Linked DNA regions of Arabidopsis thaliana. The protein of the gene in region 1 interacts with the protein of each later gene in a biochemical or structural test. Each region holds a gene or a part of one and is shown in the gene's direction. Other genes may lie near its edges.

Region 1 (8,547 bases):
GTTGATTTCTTAGAGATACCCATATCTTTTTCTTTCTTTTTTTTTTGAATGAACGAAGGAAAAAAGCTTGAATTTATCTGTAGAAAGATTAGCTTTTTTGTTTTTTTTGTTGTGGAGAAACATGAAGGGATTATCAAACCTTTAAATAATATTCAAGATGGGAGACAATATTGTTATGTTTCTTTCCTTTTTTTGGCATGTAGATTTGGAGTATCTATCTAAAATATGGATATTGTTATTTTACTATTTTACTCCTAAAGTGATTAGAATTTAGTTTCACGTCTAAAGAGATATCGAAAGTTTTAAAGATTTTGTTATCATTGCAAGTTTGCAACAATATACTGGATAAACAGTTCAACAAAACTGAATCAATTAACAAAACAAAAAGACAGATTTATACTTTTGTTTTTCTGAATGGTACAAAAACAATAAACTGCAAATTACAGGCAAATTATGTTTTGATTAGTTTTTTTTTTTTTTTTTGAACCAAGTTTTGATTAGTTTTCTTAACTCGTTCAATTATCTGGTTTCTTCTTCGTAAATATGAAATGAATATTAGTCGATGGATTTACGGCCAGTCGGCCGCCTTGAAAAATCAGTAAGCAGTTTGGTAGTGGCGGACCCAGCCAAAAAATTAAGTGGGTACAAAATGTAGCCAGATAGAATCGAACCAGCCACCTTCACCATTTAATGCTTTGAAAGCTATAAACGTATCTTTTTTTTGGGGGCAAAAGCTATAAACGTATCTTAATCGGAAAAAAAGATACGTACATGAAAGCTGTTATAATCAAGTTTCTAACAAACATACAAAACCGAAATTCCTACTCTACTATAATATTCGTTTTAAGAACTAGTTATGATTTATGATTTTTACATTCTTTATATAACTTTATTTTAGCTGAAACGATAATTTATTCAAAACATGAAGTTCATATCCATATATATAAAATAAAATTACACATAGACGGTATTAATTTTCTTACGTATAACATAATAACTACATTAGGAAAGTCACTTTCTCATCAACTTAAGTAGTTTGTGCTAATGTCGTCGATATCAGCATTCACATTTAAATCCGTATGATACATGTTCTAGACAAAAGAAACTAGAAACACATAATTGTGTATATATAACCATTAAAATATAGATTGATTGATATGATCGTTTTCATCAACGATTGTAGAGAAAGATTACACTTTATTATCATATAAATTGCAATTTATCTATGAAAGGATAAAATAGGAATATATATATATATATATGAATATATATAATAATCATAAATAAATATATCTTAATCCATATAAAAGAATACATTTTCCCATTACCAAAAAAAAGAATACATTTGCCGCCCTCTTGTTCTCCATAATACGTTTTGTTGATTTCTTTTTTGAGATTTTTTGATATATATGACTCCGAATCGTGTTTTCATATCACAAAAATTCCAACCCCTATGAAGCTTCACTGTTTTTTGGGGGTGGCTTCGTATATGGATTTGCCCTAGTTTTCTGGCAAAACTGAGGATATTTTTGAGAACATCCCCATGCATGATTCACACGCATTGACTCATATGATATAACTTGCTCCCTGTTGATTGTATCCGCCTTAACAACAAAAATAATCAGTAGAGCGACACATAAAACCGATATTGCCTTCAACATCGCCATATTTTCAAAACGAACAAAGTAAACTAAATGGATTTACACTTACTTTTGATTATTTATTACTTTCTTATAGATTTCTAATTTCTAATTTTGCGTTGATGCTTTATAAAAATAGTTGGTTGCGTTTGCTAAATAAAGTTAATTGTTTTGGAGGTTCCTTAGTTATCCAATTCCAACAAGACTTTCTTTCACAAATGTAATTATTGTTATTAGTTCCAACTTCCAACAGTACATATATAAGATCTATGTTAGCTAATAACAACTAAATGTCGATCCAAAATTGATTCTTAAAATGTCAATCAAAGTTAGTTCTTTTTAGTTTTGTGTAGTGTAAAATTAGATAAATGTATTAACTCTATTTTATTTTATTTTGCCTTTTTTCCTGATTTTATCTACTCAGATTTTATTTTCCTTTTTGCTTACTCAAACTTTTTTTTTATATAATTATAAATAGTACATGGTCTACTTCTATAATTAAGTTACAAAACTATCTATATTCCCAGTTGAGTAGTTGACCTTTAAATATTTCTTTTCTTTTATTTAAAAACGAATTTTTTCATTTTATATTATTATTATTATTATTGGTAAAAGACGATTAAAAAAGAAAATTATTTGTGGGTAATTTTTTATTTTGTTTCCTTTACCCTTGTGACTTGGGTTCTCTTCGTCTCCCTCTCTCTTTGTCCGAGTAAGATACTGAATATATATAGTCTCTCTCGACTCTGTTACTCTCGACAACGTTGGCAAAAAAAAGTAAAGAAAAAAAAACGAACTTTGTGAGTTGTGACAAAACCTTCTTTGTGCTCGTATCTCTCACAAATCCCTAGATTAGGTTAGTTTCTAATCTCTTGGACTTCGTTTCGTCTTCCATCCTTCTCACGTTTAATATTATTCTCTTTGATTCTTCTTCTGCTTTGTGGGTTTAAGGGTAAAACATATGGACTCTGCTTTTTTACAACTTTTATTTAAAAAAGCATCTGTTTTTTGCGTTTAAGGTTTAGTTGACTACTAGTATTTAGTATAAAAATCCCAACTTTTTAGTTGTTTAGACCACTGGAAGATTTTGACTCTTTGAATTTCGGATTTTTGTTGGGTAGTTTTTACATACTAAGTATTGTAAGGTAAAAAGTTGGAACCTTTTTGCAATGTGTGTGCTAAAAGAATCCTGGGGTTTGTTTGATTTTCATTAATGTACAAGTTGATTGTTACTCCTTCTCTGTTTGTTTCGTCTAATGCTTCATTATTTATTTGCTAAGCTGTGATTTGATTATTCGGATGAAGCTAACATCTTTCTGTATAATGGTGTCTTTACGCAGTCTCCTTTGTCTGGCTTTGAAAGTTTGGTATATTTATAATTAGTAACGAATGGGAAAGAGATTAAAGAAGGGTCAAAAGCCTCCATATATGAGGTTTGCTGCAACGGTCTCCGAGAAGCAATCTGAGCAAAGCGTGGAAGTAACTGAGGAGTTTGCTGTGACAATGACAGAAAAAAGATCTTGTGTCCATTTTGATAAATATGTTGATTTGGATAAGTTGTTGAAAATTATCAAATCTTATCAACAAATCAAGTGTGGAGAATGCAATGAAAGAGTTCACGTGAAGAGAGGAAGTAGATGGGGTGCTAGTAACAGGAGAGACTGGTATTCTTCCTCTGACCAGAATTGTGCTAGAAATGCTATTTGGCTTTGTTTGGAATGTGGCTATTATGTTTGTGGAGATGTTGGTTTGCCGACTGAGGCTCAGAGTCATGTTATGGGGCATAACAGGTTGACGCGTCACCGTTTGGTGATTCAATGTAAAAATCCTCAGTTAAGGTGGTGTTTCTCATGCCAATCACTTCTCCCTTTTGATAATGAAGAGAATGGTGAGAAAAAAGATTTGTTGCTGGAAGTTGTGAAATTGATTAGAGAAAGATCTCCAAACACGTACTCTGCTTCATTTGAAACTGAATTTTCATGTTCAGGAAGTATCTATGGTGGTATAGAAGCAAGAGATGGTTATGCTGTAAGAGGTTTAGTTAACCTTGGGAACACATGTTTCTTTAATTCTGTAATGCAGAACCTTCTCTCTTTGGATCAATTACGTGAGCACTTCTTGAAAGAGGATCTATCTGTTAGCGGGCCTCTCGTTTCTTCCCTGAAGGAACTATTTGCTGAATCAAATTCAGAGGCAAGCGTTTTTAGGAATGAGATAAATCCAAGAGACCTTTTCTTTTCTGTCTGTTCTCAGGCTCCCCAATTTAGGGGATATCAGCAGCATGACAGTCATGAGTTGCTAAGATGTTTGTTGGATGGTTTGAGCATTGAAGAATCGAGCCTGAGGAAGAAGCTTGGTGTTTCTGATAGTAATGACAGTTCTACATATCAGAAACCTACTCTCATAGATTCTGTATTTGGAGGTGAAATATCGAGCACTGTTTCTTGTTTAGAATGCGGACATTTCTCAAAAGTGTATGAACCCTTTATGGATCTCTCTTTACCCGTTCCGTCCATGAAACTTCCTCCTAAAAAGCAACAAATCCTTTCTCAGGCAAAGGAGGTCCTTAAGAATGGGGCAGTCAGCAAAGATTCAGAAGTTGTGTCCGCTAAACCTGCATCGGATCACAATTCCACAGTTCCACTCTTTCCATCGGATCACAAGATTCAAAGCAGGTCTCTGAAATCACAATAGATACTGATACGGAACAGGATAACTTATGGTCCGAACATGATGACTTTTGGTCGAATTTTCTTAGACCAGAAACCTCTGACAATGAAACCGATTTGGTTTTGCTAAGCGATGTTAGTGATACTGCCCCATCAACCGAGGCTAAAGGAGTTAATCAGATTTTGGTAGGTAGCACAGAAACGCTGATGCATGATAATGATCGAACTGGAAAAACTGTACCAGATAAAGAAGATGTACGAGCTACGCAGTCTAATGAAGAAACATCTGCAAGTGGGATTTCAGCAGTGATAGATGAGGCTCAAGTTTGCGGTTGTCCTGATTTAGAGCAAAGTTCTTCATCTGCAAATCAGGGGGCTGATGAAGAGCTTGCCTTGATGGTTGCAGATTCTCAGGTTCTGTATATGCCTTATAAAGATCACTTATTCTATGATGATTATATGGTTGCAGAAGCTTCCTCGTCATTCGTGAGCGGTGACCATGAACCAAAAAAAGACTATTTTGACTTTAGCAGTTTTCTTGATGAGCCTGAGATACGCGAAGGACCTGTTTTTAGACCACTATCTAAATCTGAAGTTTATGAAGCTGGTTTTAAGGCTGACTGCAGTGATGATAAAACAGTTAGTGCAGGTAAGGGTGAAGCTTCCTCGTCATTCATAAGTAGTGACCATGAACAAAACATAGATTATGTTGACTTTAGCAGTTTTTTTGACGAGCCTGAGATATCCGAAAGACCTTTCTTTCGACCGCTATCTAAATCTGAAGTTTCTGAAGCTGGTTTTAAGGCTGACTGCAGTGATGATAAAACAGTTAGTGCAGGTAAGGGTGAAGCTTCCTCGTCATTCGTAAGCAGTGACCATGAACAAAACATAGATTATGTTGACTTTAGCAGTTTTTTTGATGAGCCTGAGATATCCGAAAGACCTTTCTTTCGACCGCTATCTAAATCTGAAGTTTCTGAAGCAGGTTTTATGGCTGTCAGCGGTAATGATAAAACAGTTAGGGCAGGTAAGGGTGAAACTTTTTCTTCATTCATGAGCGGTGACAATGAACGAAACATAGATTATGTTGAGTTTACTAACAGAATATTCGATGATCGTGGGACATCTGAAAGACCTGTTTTTGGACCACCATCTAAAGCTAAAGTTTCTGAAGCTGGTTTTGTGGCTGTAAGCAGCGACTCTGATCCTGCAGTTCTTGATGAATCGGATTCACCAGTGTCTGTAGATAGGTGTTTGGCTCAGTTCACGAAGCATGAGATTTTGTCAGAAGACAATGCTTGGCATTGTGAGAATTGTTCGAAGAACCTAAAACTTCAGCGGTTGAGAGAAAAGAGAAGAACTAAAGAAGGATTGAGCAACAGATGGGTGAATGAAAATGGAGCTAGTTCGGCTTTTGATGAGTGTAGAGACAGTTCACTAAATCAATCCTGTATAGATCTCGAAAACGGTTACAAAGCTGCTCCTCCGATCACAAAATTGCCAAACTGCAAGGAAGAGGAAAGCGCAATAGATGATGGATTTGTGGGAGAGGAAAATACAAAGCAAGCTCCAATTACTTCTGTTACTGAAACACCTCTCCTCGGTGGAGAAACCATCAGTTCTCAACCAGCCAGTGACAATGAATGTGAAAATTGGGAAGACTTGGCAGTAGATTCTGAAGAAGTGATAGTAAAAAGAGATGCTAGGAAAAAGGTACTTATAAACAAGGCACCACCTGTCTTGACCATACATCTCAAAAGGTTCAGCCAAGATGCTCGAGGCAGGGTAAGCAAGCTAAGTGGCCATGTTGATTTCCAAGAGTTCATCGATCTTAGCAAATACATGGACACTAGGTATGCCCATTTTCTCTATATACATAATCTTTTCTTTTAATGTTACCACATTTGGTCAGAAACCATCATAAAATCCACTAATCGTTAATTTCTCTCGCTCTCTAGGTGCTCCGAAGAAGACGAGCCGGTTTACAGGTTGGCCGGGTTAGTGGAACATTTAGGGGCAATGAGTCGAGGTCATTATGTTTCTTACATTAGAGGAGGCCACAAGGAGAGGAGAGACTCTGATACTAAAGAACCAAACTCATCCATATGGTATCACGCAAGCGATTCTCAGGTTCGACCGGCTTCTTTGGAAGAAGTTCTCCGTTCTGAAGCCTATATCTTATTTTACGAACGAATCTGAGAACACGGAGGCTGGATATCTTTTTTTTTTTTTTTTCTCTTTCTATAATTTAGGTTAATAGAACAAGATAGGTTTAACGTTCTTCACACATTGTGCTGGTGAACTCTCTTGACTTAAGTTTAGCATTTTGCCTTGTTTGAAAAGTTAAGTGTTTTTACGTTCAGCTTATAGATAATGGCTACGTAAACTGTAGAACGTTATAAAATCTACCGGTATAACTACTTGGTTTAGTTGCAAACCGAGCACATTTCAGGCTGACGTACAATATGTATTACGTCGGCGGCGAGATAGTACAGGTCTTGATTCCGGTTCCAGCTCCACAATGCATGCGTCTCATTCTTCACCTGAAAAGGCCAACGTAAAAAAAAACACTTCGTTTTAAGCAATTTTAAATTGGTACAATCTGAGAAAACAACGGACCGGTTCTGAGTTTGATCCATGATGCTTATGCCCAAGAACTATTCTTAGTAGGTTACTTGAACATCAAGCGATAAAGAATAGAGAGAGATCTAACTTACTTCTAGTATACCGAAACCGAAGCTGCTTTCTCTGTATGCGCTATACTCCGGCTGCTTAACCGGACAAGTCTCATCTTTTACAGGCTCCAACGTGGAGTTCAAGCCGCTGGATCTGCACGAGTAGTTCTGAGAAGGATCTGGAATATTTCCTGGGTCGTCTACATGCTGAGTCTCCAGCTTCCCAGCTCCTCCTGCACCGGTTGTTATATAAACCGGGCCACATTGGTCTAACGTGTAGTTGTAGACTCTGTTTGATCTCTCATATGCATCAACCTAGTTCAGGTTTTGTGGGAAATTAGCGTAAAAGAAGATATTTCCCAAAAGCAAAGGAATACTTTAACAGAACAACACACATACATGACTATTGAAGACGATATCGACTCGGTAGTTATAGAGCAAGTCTTCAAGGTGAATCCTCATTGATTCAGCTTCTCTGTAATGCCCTTTGAATGTGCTGTACCAAGGAAGACTCCAAGTTGCAACCACCCATGGAGTTTCTGATCTGTTTATTTTGATCAGGTCACTTTCAAGCCAAATATACTGATCAGCTGTTGAAGAAACAGGGAATTAAGAAAATCAGAAACACATTTCAATGAAATTTAAACCTAAAGAGAGAAAATCAAAACCTGGAGAAACTATACATGAGTTATCATAAAGTGTGTATGAATTGAGCACTATGAAATGAGCTCCTCCCGCGTTGAAAGAATAGTATAATGGTGAGAAAGAACCGCTTTCGTTTGAAGGGAATGCGAATCTTGAACTGTATGCAGCGAATGTCAGATTATTCTCGGTCTGCGGCTCAATCTCGTGCTCCCCTGCTACCATCATGGTTGGAACATTAGCCGTGAGTGGCTCCATGAACCTGTCATCAAAGACAAAGCCCCCAATAATTTAGTGTTTAAAACCATCAAAGGATTCACAATCACTAGAGAAGAATCTTCTTTTACCTTCCCCAATAATCCCAGCGAGGCTGATAAGTTTCTCCACTAGAATAACAAGAACCACAATCAGAACTAGTTCCATTTTGGTCACAATGACAAGAACTACAATCTAGTTTAGTCTTATTCGCAAGATAAGTATCAGCGTAGCTGAATCCTCCAAGTAAAACCACAAGATCTGGATGGTTAGACAGAATATGCCCCAAAACAGTTGATGTGTTGTAAGTAAGACCCAAATCTCCAGCCACAACGATTCTGTGTGGATAATTCTCTGATGTAGACTTAGGCATTGTCCTGAAGTAATACTCTTTGCTCATTGCTGATAAAGACGGGTCTCCGCATTGGTATCGGTACAATGTGTTTGGTTTAAGACCTGTGAGTTGAACATGGTGAATGATGCCTGAAGTATAGTTCATGAAACCATTCTCAGAAGAATACTGTTGGTTATAAACAATAGAATGGCCTGTTGCATTTTGCTTCCTAGTACGACGAACATCGAATTCACGGTATTGAACTATGCTTTGCACACAATTAGGATCCAGAGGTGCAGAATCTTTTTCACCAATTTGGTATTCCCCTGTAG
Region 2 (6,601 bases), 4.5 Mb from region 1:
TCAAAGAAGAAATCGAAGAAATACGAAGAAGTAGAAGAAGAGGAGAAATCTCCATCTCCATCTCCATCTCCTAAGAAATCGAAGGAGAGTAAGAAGAAACATAAGAGATCATCAGATGAATCCGAAGAGATCGTCGATTCAAAGCCTGTTACGGTCCCGATTGTTACCATTGAGTCTGATTCTGATTTCGAATTCGATAAGGAAGATATTAAGAATCTACTTGAATCTTACTCTAAAGAGGAGCTTATTAACCTAATTTACAAAACTGCTGAGAAAGGTTCTAAATTGATCTCAGCAGTGTTTGAATCAGCGGATAGAGATAGTTCTCAACGGAACATATTCGTGCGTGGTCTTGGATGGGATACAACGCATGAGAATCTCAAGGCGGCTTTTGAGGTTTATGGGGAGATAACGGAATGTTCTGTGGTTATGGATAAAGATACAGGAAGAGCTAAAGGTTTTGGCTTTGTGTTGTTTAAGACGCGTAAAGGAGCGAGAGCGGCGTTGAAGAATCCGGAGAAGAGAATGTATAATCGAACTGTTAGTTGTTTACCAGCTAGGCCGTTTAATTCTGGAAAGCCACGAGAACAACAACAACCGGTTGAGTCTGTGAAGATTGATTTGAGTCATACGGGTAATCAGAGTGAAATGGCTTTGCCTGGGATTGATTTGGGTCATGGACTTGATAAGGGACATCAGCAGCAGCAGAATATGTCAATGTATGCTGGACAGAACATGCCCTTTTATGGACATTCTCAGCCTCCTCCTGGTTTTAATCCTATGTATGGTGCAATGATGGGTAATCCGATGGTTGCTGGTTTACAGAATTATCGTATGTTTGGCTCGGGTATGATGAATCAAGGACCTATGATGCCACCGAATCATATGGGAATGGTGGGACAATATGTTGGTGATGGTAATGTTAACGGTGTTGGTGCGGGTGCTGGTGCTGGTGCTGGTTTTGATGGTGAACGTGCTTGGTATCTGAGATAAGAGAACCCAAGTGGTATGACCATGTTCTCTGATATTTCAAGTTATAGATTAGGCTAATGATTAGTCCGGTATCTTCGACTCCAACTTGATATTTTGGGAATTGCAGGAGTTTTTTTTGCGGATCTTTATTTTCTATGCCTGATGTTTCAAACCTACTTTTTTAGTTTCATTATTTATAGTCTCTTTTAACGAGGTATCTACCCCTATATGAGCCATTTTGAGGGAGATGTGTGCTCAAAGGATGAATTTTCTGTTGCTCTCTGGAAGTCTGTCATTGGTGTTCTGCTCTGTTCTCATAAACCAGTGAAATGTGGTCATTTTGTCTAGAAGATTTAGTTACTAGGATCAATATTGGTTTAAAGTAGTTTGCTATCTCTTTGTTTTCCCTTTTGGAGTCCCCCATTATGGTCTTCTGTCTTCTCCTTACCCATCAAACTCACGTCTGGTTTTCTTCTGTGGCATGGCGTATGTTTTTCTCTTTTGTTTTTCCTTGTTTTTGGTTTTATGTTTTCCCGCATTTTCATTGAATATCTGTTCGCTATAGCTGGAGAAGAAGCTTATGACATTTATAGTTTTGTCCACTATATGTCATAACTGCCAAAAGTCTGTATCTTCCAGCTGCAGTTGTCTTGAGACCCGTTTGTAGGATCAGACATAATGGTTTTACATTCTTGTTTTAAATCTGTCTTTTTGAGTACTGGAAAAAGTTTTGGGACTCTTTCAAAAGCTTCAAGTTGATTTTCTCTGGAATAAACAACCTGAGTTTTCTTTCCTTCAAGCATTGTTTTCTTCCCCATAGGTTTTTATAAGCTTCTCAATCTCTTTCATCACATTCCTCTTTTATGGTAGTGTCGCCCCTTTCTCTTTTGTATTTAAGAGTCCATTTTGATATCAGTTGCCAAGTTTTCTTGCCTAAGTTCAAGATTGTTTTTGGTCATCGGTACTTGGACCCAATTTGTTTTTCACCTTACATAGCTTTGTTCTGGATTTACCTTTTTTTTACCTGCTCGTTATTCATATTCTATATAACTCTGGTTATGGTAGCAAAGCATACTTGTTTTTTTTTTTTTTTTCTTTGGATTTTCACAATGACCTCACAGTGACCGATGATGCGAATGCTTGTTTTCTTAAGAGGATCAATCTTGTTTTCAGTTTTTCGATTTCTTAAGAGGATCAATCTTGTTTCTCGGTTTTTGGTCTTCTCTGCAGCTATCCATCCATCCATATGAATCAACTCGTATTAATCTATAGTATGCTTCAGCTAAATCAACTTTGGTTTGGTTTTGGTCATTTGATTTCGTTGTTTTGTGATCATGATCTTATGAGGGCTTTGTTTTTCTTTCCAATGGGGAAACTCTGAAAATCTTAAGAACAAAAACAAAACCCTCTCTAAGATCTCGGTGACTATTTTTTTAGTTTCTCATAACACATAAAGATAAAAAAGAAAGAAAAAAAAGTTTCAACTGGTGAATGAATAAACAAGTAGCAGAGCGACACCACCAATATGGCTAAAACCTCTGCCTAGCCAGGAATCTTTTCTGACGGCGCTCTAAAAGAAAAGTACCACAAAGTTCACACCCCGTAAAGTTAGGGAGCTTATGGTATTCCGGTTGATGTATAGCCATCATAACTTAAAGCCAGCATCTTGCCATGTAACCTCTACAAAGATCTAAGGCCTTATCTTAAATATAAAGCAAATATTTAAAAATATGTAAAATAATAAAAATATTCAAAATAAACCAATCCAAAAATAATCTAAATATTTGAAAATATATTCAAAGCAAAATACTCGAATAAAAAAAAAATTAAACTGAAAAAATCGGAAAAACGACATCTCGAGGATAAAGTAAATCGAACTCTTGACCCGAGGGGAAACAGGAAACTGAAATCAAAAATCAAAAATCAAAATCCCTAAAAGCTTCTTGACTCGTTTATCCTCTACTACAATGGCGAAAACCCTAGACAAATCTAAGAAGCGCAAACTCGTGAAATCCAAATCCACGAATTTCGATAAGAAACAGAAGATTAACAAACAACAACAACAACCAGAATCCTCAACGCCATATTCAAGTTCAAGCTCCAGCTCTGATTCTAGCGATTCCGAATCAGACAACGAATTCGACCCAGAAGAGCTCCGTGAGCTTCTACAACCTTATTCCAAGGACCAGCTTGTCGATCTAGTTTGTTCCGCTTCTCGAATCGGATCTTCGATCTATTCCGCCGTCGTAGAAGCCGCAGATCGTGATGTTACACACAGGAAAATCTTCGTTTATGGTCTTCCATGGGAGACGACTCGCGAGACTCTTGTTGGAGTCTTTGAAGGTTATGGTGAGATTGAAGAGTGTACCGTTGTTATAGATAAGGCTACTGGTAAGGCTAAAGGGTTTGGATTTGTTATGTTCAAGACTAGGAAAGGAGCTAAAGAAGCTCTTAAAGAACCGAAGAAGAGGATTCTTAATAGAACTGCCACTTGCCAGCTTGCTTCTATGGGTCCTGCGGCTTCAGGAAAGGGGCATGATCAACCTGGTCCGGTGAAGATTAGTATGGGTTCGATGGCTAATCATGGACAGCCTCAGCAACAGCAGGTACAAGGTCAACATGTGTTTAACGGTGGTGGAATGGCTGCTTCGCCGTTTATGTTAGGGAACCAATACCATCCGCTTTATGGAGCTGGGATGTTGGGAAATCCAGCTTTAGCAGCAGCAGCAGCAGCTGGGGGAGGTTACATGTATCCGATGTTAGCGGGTGCTCTAGCACATGGCGGGTTGGGTTCTGATATGGTACAGTCTAGTCAAATGGGTGGGATTGGTGTTGATCCAAGCGTTGGTGCTGCTGGTCTTTCAGCTCTAGGTTCTTACTTTAGAGGTCAGAGTCTGCCTAGTACTTATCCTGATTCGGATGCTGGTGGAAAAAGAGGGACGGGTAAAGATTCGGATGCTGGTGGCTCCTCCTTTCATGGCTACTCAAACTATTCATGGTACGTTCACTGAAACCTTTGGTGTTTTGTAGCAATGTTTGTGCTAATATTGTGGTTTGAATGTCTTTGGATAAGCATAAATTCATTGTAGCTCCGTCATGTGTAGATAAATGGATTAAGGCTTTTGTGGTAGTACCGGAATTTTATCTGACATTATTATGCCTCTCTAGTCAAATAGTTGGCTTAAATGCCTAAATATGTATATTCCTAGGAGGAACTGCTACAGGAATTAAATACCTAAATTATGTTCTAGAGGTAGGTTAGCATTGTCATCGGTTGCCGTAATTCATTATTCATGAATCTTGCTTCGACTCTATTTCAAGTAGATGCAATGTGACCCACCATACTTTTGTTTTTTTTGTTTTCTCCATTATTTTTCCTTTTGTTGGTTTATGTTTTGTTTTCTTTTCTTTACTGTCCCTGGTTTTACAGTTTTCTCAAGTGCCATTTGTTTTATCGAAGTTAGTTTCTCTATAGGTTGGTGATGGTGGGGACGAATATTGTTACATTCTTTTTGTCTCTTGGCTTTTTTTGTTTTAGTGTTGCACTGGGTTTTATAAACTGAACGTCCACCATCTCTCCACTCATCTGGTTTTGGTGCTAACGTCTTTAAACGGACTGTAAACTATAGCATCTGTTCATGCTGTTGCACTCATGGTTTTAGACTTAAGTTTGAGTTTTAACATTTTTTTTATGTTTGTCCCTTTGATTTCTATTGTTTTCACTTTTCGGGGTTATCTTACCAGAAAGATAGAGCATTGCTCTTGTTTCCATATGTTTTTCTTTTTGTCTTCAGCTTTTGATAGAGTTATGTTTTGTTTTGTTTTCTTGAACTCCAACTTTTGCAGATGGTGTGGGCTGAGCATGAGAATGATAAACATGCAGTTTCTGGGGATTTCTTTTTAACATTTCTATCAAAGTCAGTACGTTTTAGTTTTTTTTTGTATTGTTTTTTCTTCCTTTCTTTTTTTTTCTGTTTGATGTCACTCTTGTCCGATATCATACGATAGACAGTCTGTGGCTCAAGTAATATCATTGTGATTATTCGTTAAAGACCTCTGTGCAATCTGTATTGTGACCTCTGGGGAAAAAGGTTTGCTCTATGAGGACTCAATAGGATTTAACTTTCTTTTAACTATTTATGACAGCTAAAGTTGACCCTTGAAGTTGTTATATAAATTTGATCGCATTTGATGACCTCATAGAGATATGCATATATCATTAATGATGGGCTAAAGAAAAGAAAGCTGGTGCCATTGGATCTGAAAATGTTACACTAAACAAAGTCTTGGTTTATGGAACAACAAAGACACAGTTGAAGCTAAAGCTGATGATGCCTTAAGATTCTCTCCTCTTCAGGTAAAAACCGATAACAAGTTTTGATTTTTGAATCTAAAATGTTAGGAGATCAAAGCGGTTTGTTCACTTCTTCCTCTTCTTTGGTGGCTGAAGCGCTTCCTCATCATCTTCATCTTCTTCCTCTTCCTCCTCCTCTACCTCCGCATCCTCATCGTCGTCTTCTTCACCACCATCATCATTCTCGTCTTCATCCTCCTCCTCATCTTCATCATCGTTCTCATGGTTATCATCATCCTCGTCATCGTTACCATCATCCCCTTCAGGTTCATCATCATTATCTCCAGCTTCACCGTTCAAATCAGGATCACTTACCGGTCCTTTCTTGGTCTCCTTTCCTTCTGCATCATCTGCACTGCCTTCTTCGTCTTCTCCTCCATCATCACCACTATCATCATTGTTTCCATTGCCTTCCACTGCATCAACCACCTCATATCCATTCTCTATAACATCACCCTTCAAGACAGTAACCTGCAGCTTCATATTCATTTTATCACTACCAGAAACAATCTTTTACCAAGTTAACATGATTTTACAAATTGGGCCGACATACTAAATTAGGACATGGGCTTCTTCTAGACATTAAATTTGAAAAACTTGGAAGCATAATATATGGAATATACCTTTTTGATTTTTTTTGGACCTACAATTTATAATTTAGATTTTAAAAATCTATCTTAATATTCCCCATTAAAAGCAACCGTCCTCAACTAATAGCTATTATTATATACATACCCTCACAATATTTAACCAAAACTTTTTAATTTTATATATTTTTCCAACCACCCATTCTGATGAAGTAACGCTTCAAGTCGGTCAAGATTTAGTTTTGTAGCCAAAAAAATTTGTGTGAAACTTTTGTGTAGAAAAAAATCTATTTTTATAAAGTTGTTGTTTTGTGCGACCGCGAATACTTGTAAACGTTTGTTAAGAAGGAAAAAAAAAAAAGTTGAAAATAGAAAAAGCTTGCCTGAGAGAAGAGCTCTAGCAAAGAAGAGAGCATAGTAGCCGTTAAAGCCAAAGCGGCGCAGTTTAGCACTAAAGCGTTACCGAGAACCAGAGACAACCTCATACTCATACCTTGTTCTTTCAACTCCATTCTTTCTTCACTCTGTATTTAACAGTTATGAAAACCGTTAGATCTGCAATAATAATAACTAAAGCAAAATTTTCAGACAACTTTCTTGTCCATTTATCAAATATGGAGCAATCTTCGTTTTGAAGTTATTGACGAGAAAAAAAAAAGACAAAACAGAGCAATCATAGAAAGAATCA
Region 3 (8,589 bases), on another chromosome or scaffold:
GATTCCATTCTTCGTATTTTCTTTGCAGAAACTGAAATTATTTACAAGTTTTATGTCTCCTTAGTCCTTATAGGCCGTCTGGATAGTATACAATAAGACCACTTGATTCGAGCATATTTCAAATATCTGGGCCTAATTAAAACTCGGCCCAATCAGGATTAGGACTCTATTACAGAAACTGAATCAGCTTCTTGGTTTTGTCTCAAGGTTGGGATTGAATCTAGAAAAAGATCGTTATATCTCATGAAATCTCAAGACATGAATGTACAAATGGTGTGAAGAGTTTTACATTACACTAAATTTTACAGTCTTTGGTTATGACGTATGATTCAGATTCCAAATCAATCTCAAAAACCTTGACATGGCATAGATCTCCTCCTGCATCATCTGCAAATCTAATCTTCTTTTTCTTATGAACAATGTTCTCAGTAGCTGGAGAATCTTCTCTGACCATACTCTGTAAAGGAAGGGAATGAAGAAGAGTTGGAGATTGAAGGAAGACAAATATCTCTTAGTCGTGTTTGTGAATGTTAAGAGTGTTAAACATACCATGAGTTTGCAAAACCGATTACAGTCACGTTCAATGATCGAAAGCCATTTCTTGCAACTCTCTTCAGTTTTTTCTGCATTTCCAATCACAGTTTTCACCTGAAAAGAGAAAGAAAGCCAACATTTAGAAATTGACAAACCAAATTTCAATTGCTGATAATAGACAAAAGTACCTCATCTAAGTTACAGTCAGACATGTTGGAGGTGTTGCTTTCAGCTTGCAGACATCTCTTTGTGATTTGTCTCATCGATTTCAGCTCTTTTGTGAGCCTAGCTGCAACATTTTGGAAATCACGCATTTGCCCTTGCGAGAAGGCAATAGCTTTCTGTGAGCATCCTTGTATAGAAGTGCCTCCAGTGCTAAAAGGCTGTGCTTTTGCTGCTTGAGTATTTCGACGTGGAAACTTGTGTGTCGCTCTTTGATACTTCATTTGCCGCGTATTATTAGTTGCTTTTTGAATGGCTTGCTTTGAGCTTGGAATGATTTCCACTCGGTCAATGTTATCCAGCCCTTGAGCCTTAAGGATCCTATGTGAGTTTTGGCTACTGAAGTAGAGTTTCCCTCTTGATTCTGGATTACAGTTTGTAACATGGATGAGCATCTAAAAGTTTTACAGTGCAAAGCATATAAATAAGACTTCAGTTTTCTTTTTTCATTGACTTACTTTTACTCCTTTTCTCAGGTGAATCAGGGTGCTCCATTGCCTTGCGAAGTTTTTCTTGAGAGGTGGGAGATAAAGCCTGAAAACCAAAATGTATCTACTAAGGAAACTGAATTAAGAATAGAATGCGGTTAGAAAAAATTATACAGAGGACAAACCTTTCTCCCAGAGAGTAGATTTTCTGGTTGGTGGTGTGGTTGTTGTTGCTGGATACTGTCAGTCTCTGCAACTTTTTGAACCTCATCAGGTTCCTTATACAGTTGTGATAGTTTGTGGTCTCCTGCTTCATCTTCATGTTTGGAGTATAAAGATTGTTGTAATCTTTCTGTCAAATGATCTTCTTCTTTTGAACTTGTGCTGTCTTCAGGAACTGGTTGCAGATTATCCAGTGAATTACAACAGTTGGTCAGCTGGAGAATATCAGTTGCTTCAGGAAAATTATCCTTAGTAATGTCTTCAGTTTCCCACACAATCTCGGAATCTTCTGCACAAAAATTGATGATGGACAAACAACCGGGGTAATCAATAGCAAGTATTTCTGGAGCTTCTATCTTCACAATCTCCAAACCAGTTACACTCATATCTAAGTTAGCCTTTATATCATTGCTTTCCTCATCCTCTTTATCTTCTTCTTCGCACCCAGAGCTTGTGTAAGCAGAAATGAAGTTCTTTACACAACCAATGTTCTCATATTCTGAATGTTGTGGATTAACATCCAATTCCATCTCCTCTCTAGACACACTAGAGTACAAAACAATTTGCTTATTCTGAAAATCAGCATCGCTAAACTCTTCTGATGCATCTTCAAAAGCTTCCTCAATGGCTACCACTCCGGGAAAATTTGGCTCTGCACTGCAGTATGGAACCAGCCTCATGTCACTGGACGAATCAAGCATTATTTCTTCCACCAACACTGTATTTATAGGAGATTCTGACTTTTCACTACAATCCATGGCTTCAGAAACTGAATAGCTATCATCCCAAACTTCAGGCTTGACATGAAAGAGCACCAACGGCAAATCAACCTTTTCCACAGATGGAGGAGAGGAAGTAGAAGTACCACACTTTGCTTTTTTACGCTCCTGCTTCTTCTTCCTTCTCTTGGAGAATTTCGTATCCCAACTGCTAAGAGGCTCCTCAATATCACATCCTTCATCTTGGGTCACATACTCTTTTTTAACTTCAACGTTCGAGAATGTCTCAGTAGTAGTATCTCTGCAGTTTCTAAGTTTCCTTTTCCTTTCTTTGCATTGTTTCTGAATCATCTCCAATGTTGTCATGCTAAAATCTTCAGACTCAGAACCTTGTGTAAAATCAGAACCATTGTCCAAATCCCTGACTACTCTTGGAATTGACTCAACACCTTGACTGTCTTCAAGATTGTATATATCCACCAACTGTCTAAATTTGAGCTTTGGTTTTCTTCTGCCATCCATATTCATCACTATTTTGATAGATCCGTCTTTAATGGTTCGGATATAATGTACATGAGAGTTCAAGTGTGTGCTACTTCTTAACTCCACCATTGTAACTATCAGATAATTACTTGCTAACAACTGATTAAGCTCGTATAATCCCCGCGCTCCTGGATTGAAACAAACAAAGGAATTACCGGTAAGGATACTGCTAAGTGCTAACAACAATAAACCAGAATCCTAAATTTCATTAAGCCAATCAGAGAAACGAACATCAATTAGCTACTAAACACAATTTGAAACCAAAACTCTTTTCTTAGAAAATCAATTGCACAAATCTGACCACGAAAAAGGACATGCAAATTAAAAAATGAAATTCACAATGGGCGGCGAAAACCCTAATTTCGCTACATCAATTTTTTTTGTAGCTGTATCGATTCGAGAATGGTAAAGAGCAGATCTGGGTAAAGTAGATGAATGAATCAAAGAGAAATTGAATCTAGGACATTGAATTTACCTTAAGTCTTAATCAACGCTTAATTGGATAGAGAAGGGAAATGAATGCCGAATCCTGGGCTCCAAACTCTAATTTCTGGATCTAGGGTTCACTAAAGAGACAGAGAGACATTAATTTGAAAACAAGACGAAGAAGAAGACCAAGAGACTGAAAATTGCAGCTCTTTGTAAGAAGGGAGGCGAAACCTTTTCTTTGGTTGTCTTGTCTTCTGAGTTCTGACTAATCTTATGAGCCGTCAAGTCTCGCGGGAAACACATGGCGGGAACTTTGACGTTATTCTTTTTTTCTTACTTAAGCATCTTTTCGTAAATGGGTCTTTAAACTTAAAGCCCAATAATCATTAATGGGCTTATATATATAAAATGGTTAGGGGTAAATGTGTAAAAATCCACTTAGCAAAGACTTGAGGTTGATGATATACCACCCACATAGCGGCGCATTATAGATAAGGAGGGGAAAATCAGCTTTTTGGAGAAGAAACCAAAGAAAACATTCGAAACCCTAAAATCTCCATTAGAATTCGAAAATGACAAAGAAGAGAAAGCTCGAAGGAGAAGAATCTAACGAAGCTGAAGAACCGTCGCAGAAGCTGAAGCAGACGCCGGAGGAGGAGCAGCAGCTTGTAATTAAAAATCAGGATAATCAAGGAGACGTTGAAGAAGTTGAATACGAGGAAGTAGAGGAAGAGCAAGAAGAAGAAGTAGAAGATGATGACGATGAAGATGATGGTGATGAGAATGAGGATCAGACGGATGGGAATCGTATAGAGGCGGCGGCGACGTCTGGATCTGGCAATCAAGAAGATGATGACGATGAACCAATTCAGGATCTGTTGGAACCATTTTCAAAGGAGCAAGTTTTGAGTCTTCTTAAGGAAGCAGCGGAGAAGCATGTTGATGTAGCCAATCGAATTAGGGAAGTAGCTGATGAGGACCCTGTTCATCGGAAGATCTTTGTGCACGGTCTTGGTTGGGATACGAAAACAGAGACGCTTATTGAAGCTTTTAAGCAGTACGGAGAGATCGAAGATTGCAAGGCTGTGTTTGATAAGATCTCAGGGAAATCTAAAGGTTATGGCTTTATTCTGTACAAGTCTCGTTCAGGTGCTCGCAACGCACTCAAGCAGCCTCAGAAGAAGATTGGTAGTCGTATGACGGCATGCCAATTGGCTTCTAAAGGACCTGTCTTTGGTGGAGCTCCTATCGCTGCTGCAGCTGTTTCAGCGCCTGCTCAGCATTCGAACTCGGAGCATACTCAGAAAAAGATTTATGTTAGTAATGTCGGAGCAGAGCTTGATCCACAGAAGTTGCTGATGTTTTTCTCAAAGTTTGGAGAAATTGAAGAAGGTCCTTTGGGTCTTGATAAGTATACTGGGAGACCTAAAGGTTTCTGTCTCTTTGTTTATAAGTCGTCTGAAAGCGCCAAGAGGGCTTTGGAGGAGCCACACAAGACTTTTGAAGGCCATATCTTGCATTGCCAGAAAGCTATCGATGGTCCCAAACCGGGCAAGCAGCAGCAGCATCACCATAACCCACACGCCTATAACAATCCTCGTTACCAAAGGAATGATAACAATGGTTATGGTCCGCCTGGAGGTCATGGACATCTCATGGCTGGTAACCCAGCTGGGATGGGTGGTCCAACGGCACAGGTGATAAACCCGGCCATTGGACAGGCCTTGACAGCTTTATTGGCATCTCAGGGAGCTGGTTTGGCTTTTAATCCGGCAATTGGACAGGCTTTGTTGGGTTCCTTGGGGACAGCTGCTGGTGTAAACCCAGGGAATGGAGTTGGAATGCCAACTGGTTACGGTACTCAAGCTATGGCACCGGGGACAATGCCTGGGTACGGTACACAACCTGGGTTGCAAGGCGGTTATCAGACTCCGCAACCTGGTCAAGGCGGTACAAGTAGAGGGCAACATGGTGTCGGGCCATACGGTACTCCTTACATGGGTCACTAAATGTATCATGTATCCATCCACTCAGGTAGAGCAATGAATTTCCCTTGTTTAATTGTTGAAATGTCTTTCCTCAGTATATATTAACTTACTGATGTCTGAAGACAAGAAGTTTCTGTGTATATCCACATGGTTTTTGTTTGCATTGGAGTTTTGGGGGATTTTGCAACGGTTGTTAAAGCATGTTACTTCTCTTATTTTCTTAAATTCATTGTGCAGATATCAGAAATCAGTGTTTTAATATTGGCCTGGTGATTCTTCTCAAGTTTATAAGGAGCTGATGCTAAATGAAGTCTTTATGAAATGTTACTCTTTGGTCACTCCTAAGGCCAAACTCATAAAAAACCTTTTAAGGAGTTTTAGTTTTCATCTACTTGTTTTTCCCAAACTCTCTTTATGAAATTCCTAAAAAAAACTTTGTACTACTATTTTCAGTGTTTATGTCTCTATTTTTTCAGTTTTCTGAATATCCCCCTTAGACTTTCATTTGTAAAACTAAAAAAGCGCAACTACGCTCCATGTGGGTCTTTGCTTATCGAACTCTAGTTTTTCCTAAATAGTTTTTATTGACTTCTCTGTTTTACGATTTCATGTGTTTTTCTGCCTGCAGTGTATTTTGTACCAAGTTATCTTGATTAACCTGGCTTTATGTACTATCCTGATTTTATGTTTGTTCAATTATTCCTCTTGCAGGTAATTGACTGCGGTTGAACAGCCAGATTATGTACCCCTAACTGTCAATGAAATTTCTTTAGCACACATATACTAATCTGAATGCAATTGGTTCTGAAATGATCAAAACTTGGAATTTTAAAATGCAGCAGAGCTCTCTCACTTGTGTTTTTGGATTTTCTATGACAAGTTTCAAAAGTTTTTACAATGACTATTTCAAATTAGAACTTTGTTTCCAAACTTATTTGTCATAAAATTACTAAGTTGCAGCCAACTTGGAACAGTCAAACTTGGTGGGAAGTGGTGCAAGCTTCTCAACGACACAGCTGAAGAATGATCTTTCTGAGGCAATTTCTCAATATTTGAAAAGTGGAAGCTATCGAATAGAGTTTCTCGACAACAGGCAGTTAAGTCTTTGGATCTCCACAACATGCTTGCAACTAAAAGGTAAGTTCAAAGTGTTGAGTATCTTCTTTGGCTATATACAACGTGCTTCCAATTGAAGGGTAAGTAATCAAAAGTGTTAAAAGTATATCTCTCAGTGCGAATCTCTTGCCTATATATGTTCTTGTTTATTGGTCCTAGTCCCTCTTTGAAGTGATAAAAGTTGGTTTTGGTCTAGAGAGCATGTACCTTCAGGTCCTTGTGCACAAGGTTCAGGGATTATTAGAAAAGTCACAAGAGTACGAGGTGATATATTATTTCCCTTAATGTTTCAGAGGAGTTTATAAAGGCGTGAATGCATAAAGTTTTTTTGGTGATGATTGCTTTGATGGTGAAATCTCTTTTTGGAAAAGTGCAGCTTTGAATATTATTTATGATGATGATACATAGTAGAAGGGTTCATTGATGATGAAGAAGAGAAGCAGAATATGAAGCTGAAGTGGAATTGGGGGAAGTAAGTAGTAGAGTTTTGTGTATTTGATCTCAAGTCAACAATCTCTCAATTGTTATGTCAAGTTTCGAAAAGGGAAAAAGGTCCTTCATTGATGAAGAGAATCCAAGATGCAATATTCTTCAAAGCCACATTCAATGTTCATAAAACCCAATCTGAGATTGGATAATAGAAAGTATAATTAAAGGTTTGAGATTTCAATATTGCAAAAAAATACATGTAAATTATTGCCTAAAAATGGTTTAACATGATTGCAGATTAATTTATAGTAATCACTTACCATTTAAAGAGAAACTCATAGGCATGAGGATTAGTGTTGAGAGCCAAAGAACATAAACATGTATATGTATAACCTTTTCTGATTAAAGTTTGATAATCAATCTACCTAAATTCCCATTGAAGCTAAATGAATGAAGGGTCTCCGAGCACATGTAGTGTTTATTGATTCCACCTTCATTTAAGTTAATCACTAATCATTAAGTGTTTAAACAAACCTCTGTTTCTTATTTTGATCGAAAGTTTGAGAAACCATTTTTGGGCAACTAAAAAAAGAAGAAACGCATTGAAAATTCCACAGGAGGCTTGAGAGGGGGGCATTGCCACAGTATCGAGTGTCACTTTCTCAATCAAAAGGTTTTCTCTCTCTTCTCTTTTTTCCTCTCCTGCGCGAAAACAAAACGAAGAGAGAGAGAGAGACTCAGACACACACAGACACAGAGTTTAGGTTTGCTTTGTAAATCTGTCTCTGCACTTATCATAGTTTCGTTTCTCTTTTGAGAAAGAAAAACCCAAACTTGCCATGTTTTAGATCTGGTCCTTTTTAAGCTCCAAAAGATTGTTGCTTTTTCTCTTGCTTAAGTTTTTGATTTATTCTTCTTCTTCGAAAAGTCTGTACCTCGCAAGAGTTTGATTGTCCTTGTGTTGCGATTTCCATGTTTAGTATCTGCATTTGATAGCCTTCGATGCTGCATGCAATTCCCAAGACTCTTTCTGATTGCTACAACGCCGTGATTTCTCTCTGCCATTTCCTTCGATTTGATTTCTGGGTTCTCTTCTTCTCGTCTCTCTTCTGCATGTTTCGCCACTCTACCTTAGAAAAAAGGTTACTTTCGCCTCCGATTTAGGCTCGATTTGATGAATTCGTCGTCGTGTGGCTATTTATCAAATTGAGCATTAGGGTTTCTGATTTGTGGGTTCAGAATTGTTTTTATCTATCTGTCTTGTTGTTTTTTGTCCGCTACAAAAGCCTATGGATTCTCAGAGGGGTATTGTTGAACAAGCTAAATCTCAGTCCTTGAATAGGCAAAGCTCTCTTTACAGCTTAACACTTGATGAGGTTCAAAATCACTTGGGGAGTTCTGGTAAAGCTCTGGGAAGCATGAACCTTGATGAGCTTTTGAAGAGTGTCTGTTCTGTTGAAGCTAATCAGCCATCGTCTATGGCTGTCAATGGTGGAGCAGCTGCTCAGGAGGGTCTTTCTCGCCAGGGGAGTTTGACTTTGCCTCGGGATCTCAGCAAAAAGACTGTTGATGAGGTTTGGAAAGACATTCAGCAGAATAAGAATGGAGGTAGTGCTCATGAGAGGAGGGATAAGCAGCCTACACTTGGGGAAATGACGCTTGAAGACCTGTTGTTGAAAGCAGGAGTGGTCACTGAGACTATCCCTGGTTCGAACCATGATGGTCCTGTTGGTGGTGGTAGTGCTGGTTCAGGTGCTGGTTTAGGGCAAAACATTACTCAAGTTGGCCCATGGATTCAATATCATCAGCTCCCATCAATGCCACAGCCTCAAGCATTTATGCCCTATCCGGTTTCAGATATGCAAGCAATGGTGTCTCAGTCTTCTTTGATGGGTGGTTTGTCAGATACACAAACTCCTGGAAGGAAGAGGGTAGCTTCAGGAGAAGTTGTAGAGAAGA

Evidence for each region.
Region 2: the proteins of UBP1 (region 1) and UBA1A form a complex in vitro, tested with the Arabidopsis thaliana proteins (one study listed by BioGRID).
Region 3: the proteins of UBP1 (region 1) and UBA2A form a complex in vitro, tested with the Arabidopsis thaliana proteins (one study listed by BioGRID).

Annotation. Positions count from the first base shown.
Region 1 is NC_003071.7:13,896,392-13,904,938, reverse strand, and holds UBP1 (ubiquitin-specific protease 1), read left to right. Parts: upstream 1-3,068; coding exon 3,069-4,315; intron 4,316-4,398; coding exon 4,399-6,162; intron 6,163-6,267; coding exon 6,268-6,508; 3' UTR 6,509-6,529; downstream 6,530-8,547. Other genes in the region: AT2G32788 (uncharacterized protein), read right to left, coding at 1-23; AT2G32785 (uncharacterized protein), read right to left, coding at 1,452-1,667; PAP13 (purple acid phosphatase 13), read right to left, coding at 6,736-6,852, 7,027-7,299, 7,384-7,574, 7,668-7,888, 7,974-8,541. UniProt on the Arabidopsis thaliana protein: Recognizes and hydrolyzes the peptide bond at the C-terminal Gly of ubiquitin. Involved in the processing of poly-ubiquitin precursors as well as that of ubiquitinated proteins. Is involved in resistance to the arginine analog canavanine (CAN).
Region 2 is NC_003071.7:9,386,789-9,393,389, reverse strand, and holds UBA1A (RNA-binding (RRM/RBD/RNP motifs) family protein), read left to right. Parts: upstream 1-2,883; 5' UTR 2,884-2,939; coding exon 2,940-3,983; 3' UTR 3,984-4,340; downstream 4,341-6,601. Other genes in the region: AT2G22100 (RNA-binding (RRM/RBD/RNP motifs) family protein), read left to right, coding at 1-993; AT2G22088 (uncharacterized protein), read right to left, coding at 4,341-4,588, 4,850-5,006; AT2G22080 (uncharacterized protein), read right to left, coding at 5,393-5,797, 6,297-6,425. UniProt on the Arabidopsis thaliana protein: Acts as a component of a complex regulating the turnover of mRNAs in the nucleus. Binds with high affinity to RNA molecules that contain U-rich sequences in 3'-UTRs. May function in complex with UBP1 and contribute to the stabilization of mRNAs in the nucleus.
Region 3 is NC_003074.8:21,047,225-21,055,813, reverse strand, and holds UBA2A (UBP1-associated protein 2A), read left to right. Parts: upstream 1-3,493; 5' UTR 3,494-3,669; coding exon 3,670-5,106; 3' UTR 5,107-5,131; exon of another isoform or gene 5,132-6,059; 3' UTR 6,060-7,087; downstream 7,088-8,589. Other genes in the region: AT3G56870 (uncharacterized protein), read right to left, coding at 296-457, 550-648, 723-1,120, 1,215-1,290, 1,370-2,737; AREB3 (ABA-responsive element binding protein 3), read left to right, coding at 7,920-8,589. UniProt on the Arabidopsis thaliana protein: Heterogeneous nuclear ribonucleoprotein (hnRNP)-like protein that acts as a component of a complex regulating the turnover of mRNAs in the nucleus. Binds with high affinity to RNA molecules that contain U-rich sequences in 3'-UTRs.